Linked DNA regions of Arabidopsis thaliana. The protein of the gene in region 1 interacts with the protein of each later gene in a biochemical or structural test. Each region holds a gene or a part of one and is shown on either strand. Other genes may lie near its edges.

Region 1 (4,184 bases):
ACATTACGTCAACAAGCAACAACCTGGAAACATGTGGTACCATGACCACGCGGCAGGGTTGACCAGAGTCAACCTTCTTGCCGGTTTGTTAGGCTCTTACATTCTCCGTCATAGCTCAGTCGAATCGCCTCTTCGGTTACCTACCGGACGCGAATTCGATCGTCCTTTGGTCATCTTTGACCGATCTTTTCGTAAAGATGGTTCCATTTACATGAACGCTACAGGGAACAATCCAACGATTCATCCACAATGGCAGCCAGAGTATTTCGGCGACGCCATCATTGTGAACGGTAAAGCATGGCCGAGATTAACCGTCCGCCGCCGGAAATATAGATTTCGAATCACAAACGCTAGTAACGCAAGGTTCTTCCGGTTCTTCTTCTCCAACGGTCTCGACTTCATTGTCGTTGGTTCCGATTCCGCTTATCTAGCGAAACCAGTATCGACCAAATCTGTTCTCCTAGCTCCGTCGGAGATTGTCGACGTACTCGTTGACTTTTCAAAGTCAACATCGAAAACGGCAATTCTTGCCAACAATGCACCTTATCCTTACCCGTCGGGAGATCCCGTCACGGAAGAGAACAGCAAAGTCATGAAGTTTATAATCAACTACAAATCAGAAGTTGACACGTCGATTATTCCGAAGAAGCTAATTGAATACCCTCCTGCTCATGTATCAACCTCCACACGTACACGTTACATTGCTATGTTCGAGTATGTGTCAAGCATTGACGAGCCAACACATCTATACATCAACGGTCTGCCTTACAACGCTCCCGTAACCGAAACTCCAAAAATCGGCACAAGCGAGGTATTTATAACCAAAATTTCACTATTCACTAACCGTATAGTTCAAATCTTTAATGCTTACAATAATGAAGGTGTGGGAAGTGATAAACTTAACCGAGGATAACCATCCGTTGCACATTCACTTGGGATTGTTTAAAGTATTGGAGCAAACGGCATTGGTGAAGAGTGAGGAGTTCATAGAGTGCATGACTAAAAGAAACGATGCCGTCAAGTGTGAGATTAGCAAATACGCACGAGGGAACAAGACCGCGGTTACGGTACACGAGCGGGGATGGAAAAACGTATTCAAGATGATGCCGGGACATGTAACGAAGATACTCGTTAGATTTTCTTACATTCACTCAAACGAATCTTACTCCTTTGACGCAACTCAAGAGCCAGGCTATGTTTACCACTGTCACGTAAGTTGGTAAAATACTAAAAAGTTGATGACGAATTTAGCTTTTTCTTTTAGAACTAACTGTATGATATTGGCATTGCAGATATTGGACCATGAAGACAATATGATGATGAGGCCCTTTGCAATGGTGCTATAATTCTAAAACGAAAACAATTTACAATTACGAGTGCAGAATACAAACGAGTTGATATAGATTGAGATTTCAGATTACATAAATATCTTATACAGAAAGTGTTAAAAGATAATTCGATTGGATTGATGTTATATCTCTATCATTGTTTTTCACTTGGCCTCGGAGATTAGAAGCAGCTTGTTAATGGGCTTTTAACAGTTACGGGCTTTAACGGGCCCAATAACAAAACTCTTTTGCTTCTTATATGATTTTGGAGTAGATGGTAAGTGAGATAGGGAAGTGGTGAGTGAAATTAGAAAATTCCTCGTATACAAAGTCCTAACCACCAGTCAAATTCAATTGAATGCTCCCATGTTTCTCCCTTATCTGTTCCTGAACCTACACTCTTTAATTTCATGGTTTCCTATTTTCTCTTAATTTGTTTATTTTCATGTCATATTCGGAAGCTTCAGATATTTTATCAAATAATGCATCCAAATAATTTTGAGCCACTAGTCAAATATCTTCTTCGTCTTCTTCTTGCTTAATATATATTTTAGTGAATCTATTATTGATACCACACACACATCTTTGATATTTCACAAAAGGTATCTATCGGAGCCGTACATATATTTTACGAAAATGTGGATAAGAGCGAGATTTGGATTGGTATTGGTAAGGCAAATTAAATGCGACACACTTCCACATTCATGATTCCACAAATTCTAATGGATTTGAACAAATATGGGACCAATTTTTATTTGTTTCAACTCCTAAATGTGGGACCAATTAACAAGGTTGATGTATTCTTCTTGTTCTTCCTCGTTCATTAATAGTTTGATTGAGCATGCACGCTTCTCTCAACCCACCAGTCCAAGTCAAACCTCCTCAAGCCATCCCCTAATCCTATATATCAGTTTCTTCTCGCAAACCACCTCACAATCTATCAACAGTTTTAAAAAAAGACATAACTCAACCAATCTCACTTTGAAAAAGACATGAACAAAACCCGCCTTCGTGCTCTCTCCCCACCTTCCGGTAACTATTTTCTCTTTAAACAGTATTAATCATGTGTTTTGCTATTCACATCACCAAATTATTCATAGTTTAAAGAGGTCGATGTAGAATTCATAGATATACATGTGTACATACGTGACTTTGTGACGATATATCGTTTTAATTTGTTAAATTTTGATCCCTTCTCTTAGGTATGCAACACCGTAAGAGATGTCGATTGAGAGGTCGAAACTACGTAAGGCCAGAAGTTAAACAACGCAACTTCTCAAAAGATGAAGACGATCTCATCCTCAAGCTTCATGCACTTCTTGGCAATAGGTTCGTATTCATTCTTCTTATTCTTTAATTCAATAGTAATGTGAACGGTACGTGCTAATAATCATTTTGATGTTATGTTTTTTCAGATGGTCATTGATAGCGGGAAGATTGCCAGGACGAACCGACAACGAAGTTAGGATCCATTGGGAAACTTACCTAAAAAGGAAGCTCGTAAAAATGGGAATCGACCCAACCAATCATCGTCTCCACCATCACACCAACTACATTTCTAGACGTCACCTCCATTCTTCACATAAGGAACATGAAACCAAGATTATTAGTGATCAATCTTCTTCGGTATCCGAATCATGTGGTGTAACAATTTTGCCCATTCCAAGTACCAATTGCTCGGAGGATAGTACTAGTACCGGACGAAGTCATTTGCCTGACCTAAACATTGGTCTCATCCCGGCCGTGACTTCTTTGCCAGCTCTTTGCCTTCAGGACTCTAGCGAATCCTCTACCAATGGTTCAACAGGTCAAGAAACGCTTCTTCTATTCCGATGAGAAATGGTGTATTTGTTTGTACACATTTGTTATATTACAAATGCACATATTATAATATTCACTAGAGAGATGGTATAACGATGTTTGAAATATGTTAATCCTGAATTGGACCGGCTGGTCATTGAACAACTATTCTCTTAAATGTCCGGTTCTGTTTTCAGTGATTAGTATTATAGTAGATCGTTAATAACTAACCGACGATAACCGCTGCTTATTTGATCAATCAAGCTGTAAGAAATTATAGCTAATACAGCAATGTTAACGGTGCACATTGACGGGAAGTATTAATTAACTCTCTTAAAATGGACAAGTATGTTCATTTTCCTCCAAACTACACTTTACTCTTTATTCAAAAGCAATTTCAAACTCTCGTTTCGCACAAAGGAATCTATAAATACGAAAATTACTTACTAAAGATATAAAGGAAGCAAATTAGTTAACTTATAAAATAATGAAATGTATCGATTTAAGGATGTCTTAAGCATGGAGACTATACGGTCAAATATGCACCAACTAGTACAAACACGTTCACATATATTTTGAACAAAACTCACAATGAATTTGTTTAAAGTATCTTCATACATGCTTAAAATAAAAATTAGAAAGTAAATACATTTGTACAACCGCTATTCAAACATCATCAAATATTAAACAAAATTGCATGACCAAAGAATATGAATGTTTGACAAGTATAGAAGAGGAGATTGTTTGCTAAGAAAATGGACCAATATTTATCATCGAAACTACAATCATCATTAAGGTTGTTTCTACGATTGCGGGATCTACAACCATCAAAGAAGTTGTTTCCACAACTGTATAAACTCTGATCTCACCTTCACTTTCATATTGTTCCGCAAGTACAACTACACCATAAATTTCAGAAATAACGGTGAGTATTGTGGTTAATGGAGAGTTGTGTGTGGATGTGCAAGCAAAAATCACATGCCTCATCAAACACTTCAAGGTTATTAATCTTCATCTGATTCAGACGAATACCCTCTTCTTTATGTAGATCTTTTT
Region 2 (6,416 bases), 3.2 Mb from region 1:
CATTACGTGAGAGGTCCCATTCAAAGTGACTCTGAATTCTTAGGCACTTTCAATAATTCGAATTTATACAGGTCTCAGAATTATAAGCAAAGCTTATTGAATGGGTTAAAGGAATTAATTTAGATATGAATTTTGGTTGGTTTTATAATTTATGATGGAATCAAAATCATAGAGAGTGGCTCGCGCTGACAAAGTTATTAATGCTAAATTAAATAAACTGGACCCCAAAAAATGGACTGTTCGATCACTCTTTTTTTTTTTTATCAACAGTAGACTCTGTTCCGTGCAATTAATGCGAGCATCTCTTTCATTTTACTTTTTCAATATTTTGTTTTTATTTCTATTGTGTGAAGAATTTATTTATATTTTCAGTCTCGATAAAACAATGCATCATCATCTGCGGCGTTAGATATTATAATGAAAGATTTATTAGTTGTGTACTAGCTAATGGTTAATATGTCATATGTGTAACAAAATGAGGTGTATATTTAGTTTGTTTTTTTGTTTTTTTGTTTTTTGTCCAATGCATTAGAAGTACTGTCCAGAATTGTAGTATTTCACTACATTTTTATAGTCAAATTATATATATTAAGCAAAAGTCAAAATGACCCTTTTTGAGCTGAGAGCCGGAGACTATAGGCTACAGAATCTAATGTTTGCGTGTGTTCACGATGACCACAGTGTAACTAGATGACATATCTTTTAGGAAAGTAACGAAAAAAATAATCAGCAAAGAAAAACTATTTAAGAAATTACTGAAAACACAGACGTTCACGTTGATATAAATGTACAAATCTTCATTTATCAGGTTATTATGTTTTATGAATCATACAGTTAGTACATGAAATAAACAATATCTGACTCCGTTTTTCAACGTACAGACACGACAAGTAGTCCTAGTTAGGGGTGATAATTTTGGGAGATGCGAAGAATTAATTAAGAGCATGCACATAGCATATGATAATAATGACTCTTGGTTTCTTCTTTATTAATCATCTCATTTAAATATCATTTTCTCGTGATTTTGATCAACATAGGTTGTTACATAGCTAAACCCATTATCAATCCCTTACCTTAGAATTGAAGTCAAGGAAGAATACTAAACCTTACATTATCTTTAGATCCCAAATTCACTCGTTCTTGATAACCTTATTGTCTAACTCCATATATAATTGGCTCGTGTACGCATCTTTAATACAAATAATTTACGAGGTTGCGATTAATTAAAATGAAGGTGCATAGAAAATTAATTAGCAATTATACAAATGTTCTATGGTATTTCCGAAGATTCGAAAACAATGTAGAATATATATATTCAATGAACATAGTATATATTATATTTTAGTTAAACCATACAACGTAATTTAGTCAATACTAGAAGCTTGTCTCTCTCTCCAGGGTATCTCCTCGAGGCATAACATTAATTTCATGTCTTTCTTCGTGTTTCACCATTAGGATTTGTTCTATCTTAAAATCAAGTTAATATTTGTGTATATATTTGACCAGTAAGGCAGTAACATATAAACATTGCTTATAAGGGTGGCAAATTGGTTTGGTTGGATTTGTAAGTGTTATGCCTATGAATTTTTTTTTTGGTTCAAACTCTGCTTAAAGTCTAAAGACCTATATTATGAGTTACTAAAAAAAGTTATTTCCTCCGTTTCAAAATATAAGATGTTTTAAATAAAAATATAAAAATTAAAAAATCAAAATATAAGATGTTTTAATTAAAAATATAAAAATTAAAAAATATTTTTTAAAAAATTCAGCAGATTATAAAAGCTGATGCATAATATAAATATGTATACAATATTAAATTAATCTATAATTTACATAAAAACTTGAAAATATTTTATATTGTGAAACAAACAAATTTCTTCAGAACATCGTTTATCATGAAACGTAGAGAATAGGACATATCATTGATAGAAAAAAGATTTTAGAGATGGAAAAATAACTAATTTCTCTTAACAAAAATAAATTTCCAAAAGGAGAGTGGTGCTTGGAACACCGTATTCAAAAGGGTTATACACTAGACACTACTTTTTTTTTTTTTTACCATCTTGTTTTATATATATTTATTTAAAATTCCTCGTAAAGTTCAGTGTTTTGTGATTATATACAGTGTACACACACCTAAAATAAGTATCCATAAAGAGATTTGGTCATTCGGACACCGTCCTTTTCTCTCAACTCAAAGCTCAATTCAACCACAACAGATAGTAACTTGAAAGTCACAAATATTTAATATTTTCCCATTATAGAAGGTTAAAAAAAATAAATATATTCTGGGTTTTGTTGTCTTCTTCTTTCTTCCTCAGGAAACCAAACCAATGTCATGTAAAAATCACTAACTCATGACTAGTCATAACCTTTAAATCACTTCTGCTTTTTTTCTGTTTCTCTTTTGATTTATTCAAAGACAACAAAGTTTTGTTTTTGACAAAAAATCTGATCTTTGTTTGTTCGTTTGTTTGTTACATGGGGATGAAGAAACAATGGCAACCGGAGAAAACAGAACGGTGCCGGACAATCTAAAGAAACAGCTCGCAGTTTCAGTTCGAAACATTCAATGGAGTTATGGAATCTTCTGGTCTGTCTCTGCTTCTCAACCAGGGTACAATCTCGTAATCTTTATCCTTCAAATTAACTTTTCTTGAAAATAAAGTTTTGTTTGAGACATTCTTGACTTTAGTCCAAAACTCAGATAAAACTTTATCCTTACTTCAAGATTTCGATTTTTGTTATGTTTTCTCGATTAATCCAATTTTTCTTGGCTATCTTTTTTGTTTTCTCTAAACGAAGAGTGTTGGAGTGGGGAGATGGATATTACAATGGAGACATAAAGACAAGGAAGACGATTCAAGCAGCAGAAGTCAAAATTGACCAGTTAGGTCTTGAGAGAAGTGAGCAGCTTAGAGAGCTTTATGAATCTCTCTCCCTCGCTGAATCCTCAGCTTCCGGTAGCTCTCAGGTCACTAGACGAGCTTCCGCCGCCGCTCTCTCACCGGAGGACCTCACCGACACCGAGTGGTACTACTTAGTATGCATGTCTTTCGTCTTCAACATCGGTGAAGGGTAATTCCGTCTCTTCCTCATAATCCTTTCATTTCACCTTTTTTAAAAACAAAAACCTATCTTTCAGAAAAATTTCTTTTATGAAGAATATCGTTTTTAAATTATAGTATTATTTTATTCGTAGACATTATAAGAAAATGTAAACGATACCAAAATTCTAAAAAAAAAGTATAAGGGTATGTTTTATTTTGTCTCATAAAAAAAGACAAGAACACCCTTTATTAGCTTGTCTCCTTCATTTCTTCTTCCATGTGAGCTTATTCAGAAATCCGACATGTACGAGTTTAATTATTAACAATGCAATTATCCTTTATATTTACTTAATTTTTTTTATGTTTGTAGGTTTTTTTAAAGTATACCTCTTTTTAATCTTAGAAGACATACATAGATAGAAATGCGAAAGCACAACGGAAATAAGTTTTTACTTCATTTGCATAATTGCATTATACATTTGCTATTCAAAGAAAGTAGTAGAAAACTTTTGTTCCCATTAAGATAAAGATTTTGAGATACAAAACATAAAGGGTATTTCCGTCTTTCTAATGTAGAATCCCCGGAGGAGCGTTATCCAATGGAGAACCAATATGGCTTTGTAACGCTGAAACCGCCGATAGCAAAGTCTTCACTCGTTCTCTTCTAGCTAAAGTAAGTTTTTTGCAATTGGAAACGCTAACGCTAGAATTCAAGAACGCTATAACTGAAAACGCTCTTTTTTTTTTTTTTTTTCGTTTGGCGTTTTGCTCTTTAAAGAGTGCTTCGCTTCAGACAGTGGTTTGCTTCCCGTTTCTTGGAGGAGTCCTTGAGATTGGCACGACCGAACATGTAAGCCTATATTTCCTATTTTTTTTCCAACACTATCAAAACATTCTTAAAAGTACCCAAAACTTATCTTTTGTTCTTTTAGATTAAAGAGGACATGAACGTGATACAAAGTGTTAAGACGTTGTTCCTTGAAGCTCCTCCATATACTACAATATCGACAAGATCAGACTATCAAGAAATTTTTGATCCCTTAAGTGACGATAAATACACTCCGGTGTTTATAACCGAAGCTTTTCCAACAACTTCTACTAGCGGGTTTGAGCAAGAACCTGAGGATCATGATTCGTTCATCAACGATGGTGGTGCGTCTCAGGTACAAAGCTGGCAGTTTGTGGGTGAAGAAATCAGTAACTGCATTCACCAATCGTTAAATTCAAGCGATTGCGTTTCCCAAACGTTTGTTGGAACAACCGGGAGACTTGCTTGCGATCCAAGGAAGAGTAGGATTCAACGGTTAGGTCAGATTCAAGAACAGAGTAACCATGTAAATATGGACGACGATGTTCATTACCAAGGCGTGATATCGACGATTTTCAAAACAACGCATCAGCTAATACTCGGACCGCAGTTTCAGAACTTCGATAAGCGGTCTAGCTTCACAAGGTGGAAGCGATCATCATCTGTGAAAACATTGGGAGAGAAATCGCAGAAGATGATAAAGAAGATACTCTTCGAGGTTCCTTTGATGAACAAGAAAGAAGAGTTGTTACCGGACACACCAGAGGAAACCGGGAACCATGCCTTGTCCGAGAAGAAACGCCGCGAGAAATTGAATGAACGGTTTATGACATTGAGATCAATCATTCCCTCAATTAGTAAGGTAACCGATTCTAGCAAATCTGTTTCAGTAACGTTTTATGTTTATTTCTTGATAATAGGAAGACATGTTTAAATATAATGCTCTGAAGGAACTAAGCTTGAGTCTCTTGCTGATTCTACAGATTGATAAAGTGTCGATTCTTGATGATACAATTGAGTATCTTCAAGATTTACAGAAACGGGTTCAAGAGTTGGAATCTTGTAGAGAATCTGCTGATACAGAGACACGGATAACGATGATGAAGAGGAAGAAACCGGATGATGAGGAGGAAAGAGCATCAGCGAATTGTATGAACAGCAAAAGGAAGGGGAGTGATGTGAATGTAGGAGAAGATGAACCAGCTGATATCGGTTATGCTGGTCTAACGGATAACTTAAGGATCAGTTCATTAGGTAACGAGGTGGTTATTGAGCTTAGATGCGCTTGGAGAGAAGGGATATTGCTTGAGATAATGGATGTGATTAGTGATCTCAACTTGGATTCTCACTCGGTTCAGTCGTCAACCGGAGACGGTTTACTCTGCTTAACTGTCAATTGCAAGGTACAGTCATTAAACCAAGCTTGATTTATGTTACTCAACCGGAATATGAGCAAACCGAAATGTGATATGTAATGTTTAATGTTGATTGCAGCATAAAGGGACAAAAATAGCAACAACAGGAATGATCCAAGAGGCACTTCAAAGGGTTGCATGGATATGTTAAGGATTCAAGGTTTAGATTTGACAAAATTAGCTTTTTCTCTGGTTTGGTTTCCCAATTTTCGGTAATCAGTGATTCTAACCGAGTTTTTGTGATTTTGAAGTTTTGGAAGATCCTTAAGAATTCTTGAAAAATCGTTCCTTTTGGCTCATTACGTAGGAGAAGACAATAAGAAATTACTTACTTAGCAATTAGCATACTATGAAATTCAATTATGCGAAATATGAAAACCACTCGTAGTAGTTCGTGCACTATCATTTTTAAAAGTAAGTAAACTAGAACTTTTTTTTTGTTGTTGAAAGTAACTTTTGTATAAGTATTTGTAACGAGATCATATTTTGTGACTAGTTCAAGTTCGACCAAAAACATTATAGTAAAATCTAAAGAGATACTACATAGCCCGATTCCAGTATCTTAAGTCTTCAATCTCACTTCAAATATTCTTTATATGTTTTTAGAAAAGTTATGTAAGAAATTAAAAAAATATTTTTAGAAAAGTTAAAGATAGAAATGGTGGTCAAAAGCTGATAAAAGTGTTCGCAAAATACACTGCCTTATAGAGAAAAGAAGTAATGTCATTTCAAATAATTGCATCTAACGCCACTGAGATCTCACTTCAACATGTGTTACCATTTTAACATTAACTTTTTATTTCAAAAAGAAAGGAAGAAAATTGTAAGCACAAGGACTATACTGTATTTGGATTTCGTTTGGTAGCATCAAAGTAACACTCTCATTTTAGTAAGAGGTTAACTTTATTGAAAATACACATAATGTGGGGTTAGAAATTGTGTTGAACAATTTCTTGATTTAGAACGAAACTTAAAAAGAGTGGAAATTCTTTAATGGGTTGGTTGGCATGGTAGGTGGCCATTAAGAAGATCCATGAATTGGTGAAGTTGAGGTTTATATCATGTATTAGCCTCGGTATATAGTGTGTAAACCTTGATATTTAGTATGTAGAAGTATGACTATAGCTTGTATAAGCGCGGCCA

Evidence for each region.
Region 2: the proteins of MYBL2 (region 1) and EGL3 form a complex in vitro, tested with the Arabidopsis thaliana proteins (one study listed by BioGRID).

The regions. Positions count from the first base shown.
Region 1 is NC_003070.9:26,794,363-26,798,546, reverse strand, and holds MYBL2 (MYB-like 2), read left to right. Parts: upstream 1-2,017; 5' UTR 2,018-2,320; coding exon 2,321-2,360; exon of another isoform or gene 2,361-2,530; coding exon 2,531-2,657; intron 2,658-2,743; coding exon 2,744-3,164; 3' UTR 3,165-3,495; downstream 3,496-4,184. Other genes in the region: LPR2 (Cupredoxin superfamily protein), read left to right, coding at 1-811, 882-1,211, 1,293-1,346.
Region 2 is NC_003070.9:23,597,311-23,603,726, forward strand, and holds EGL3 (basic helix-loop-helix (bHLH) DNA-binding superfamily protein), read left to right. Parts: upstream 1-2,102; 5' UTR 2,103-2,340; exon of another isoform or gene 2,341-2,493; 5' UTR 2,494-2,498; coding exon 2,499-2,617; intron 2,618-2,805; coding exon 2,806-3,078; intron 3,079-3,626; coding exon 3,627-3,723; intron 3,724-3,828; coding exon 3,829-3,900; intron 3,901-3,982; coding exon 3,983-4,720; intron 4,721-4,841; coding exon 4,842-5,261; intron 5,262-5,352; coding exon 5,353-5,424; 3' UTR 5,425-5,854; downstream 5,855-6,416. UniProt on the Arabidopsis thaliana protein: Transcription activator, when associated with MYB75/PAP1, MYB90/PAP2 or TT2. Involved in epidermal cell fate specification. Negatively regulates stomata formation but promotes trichome formation.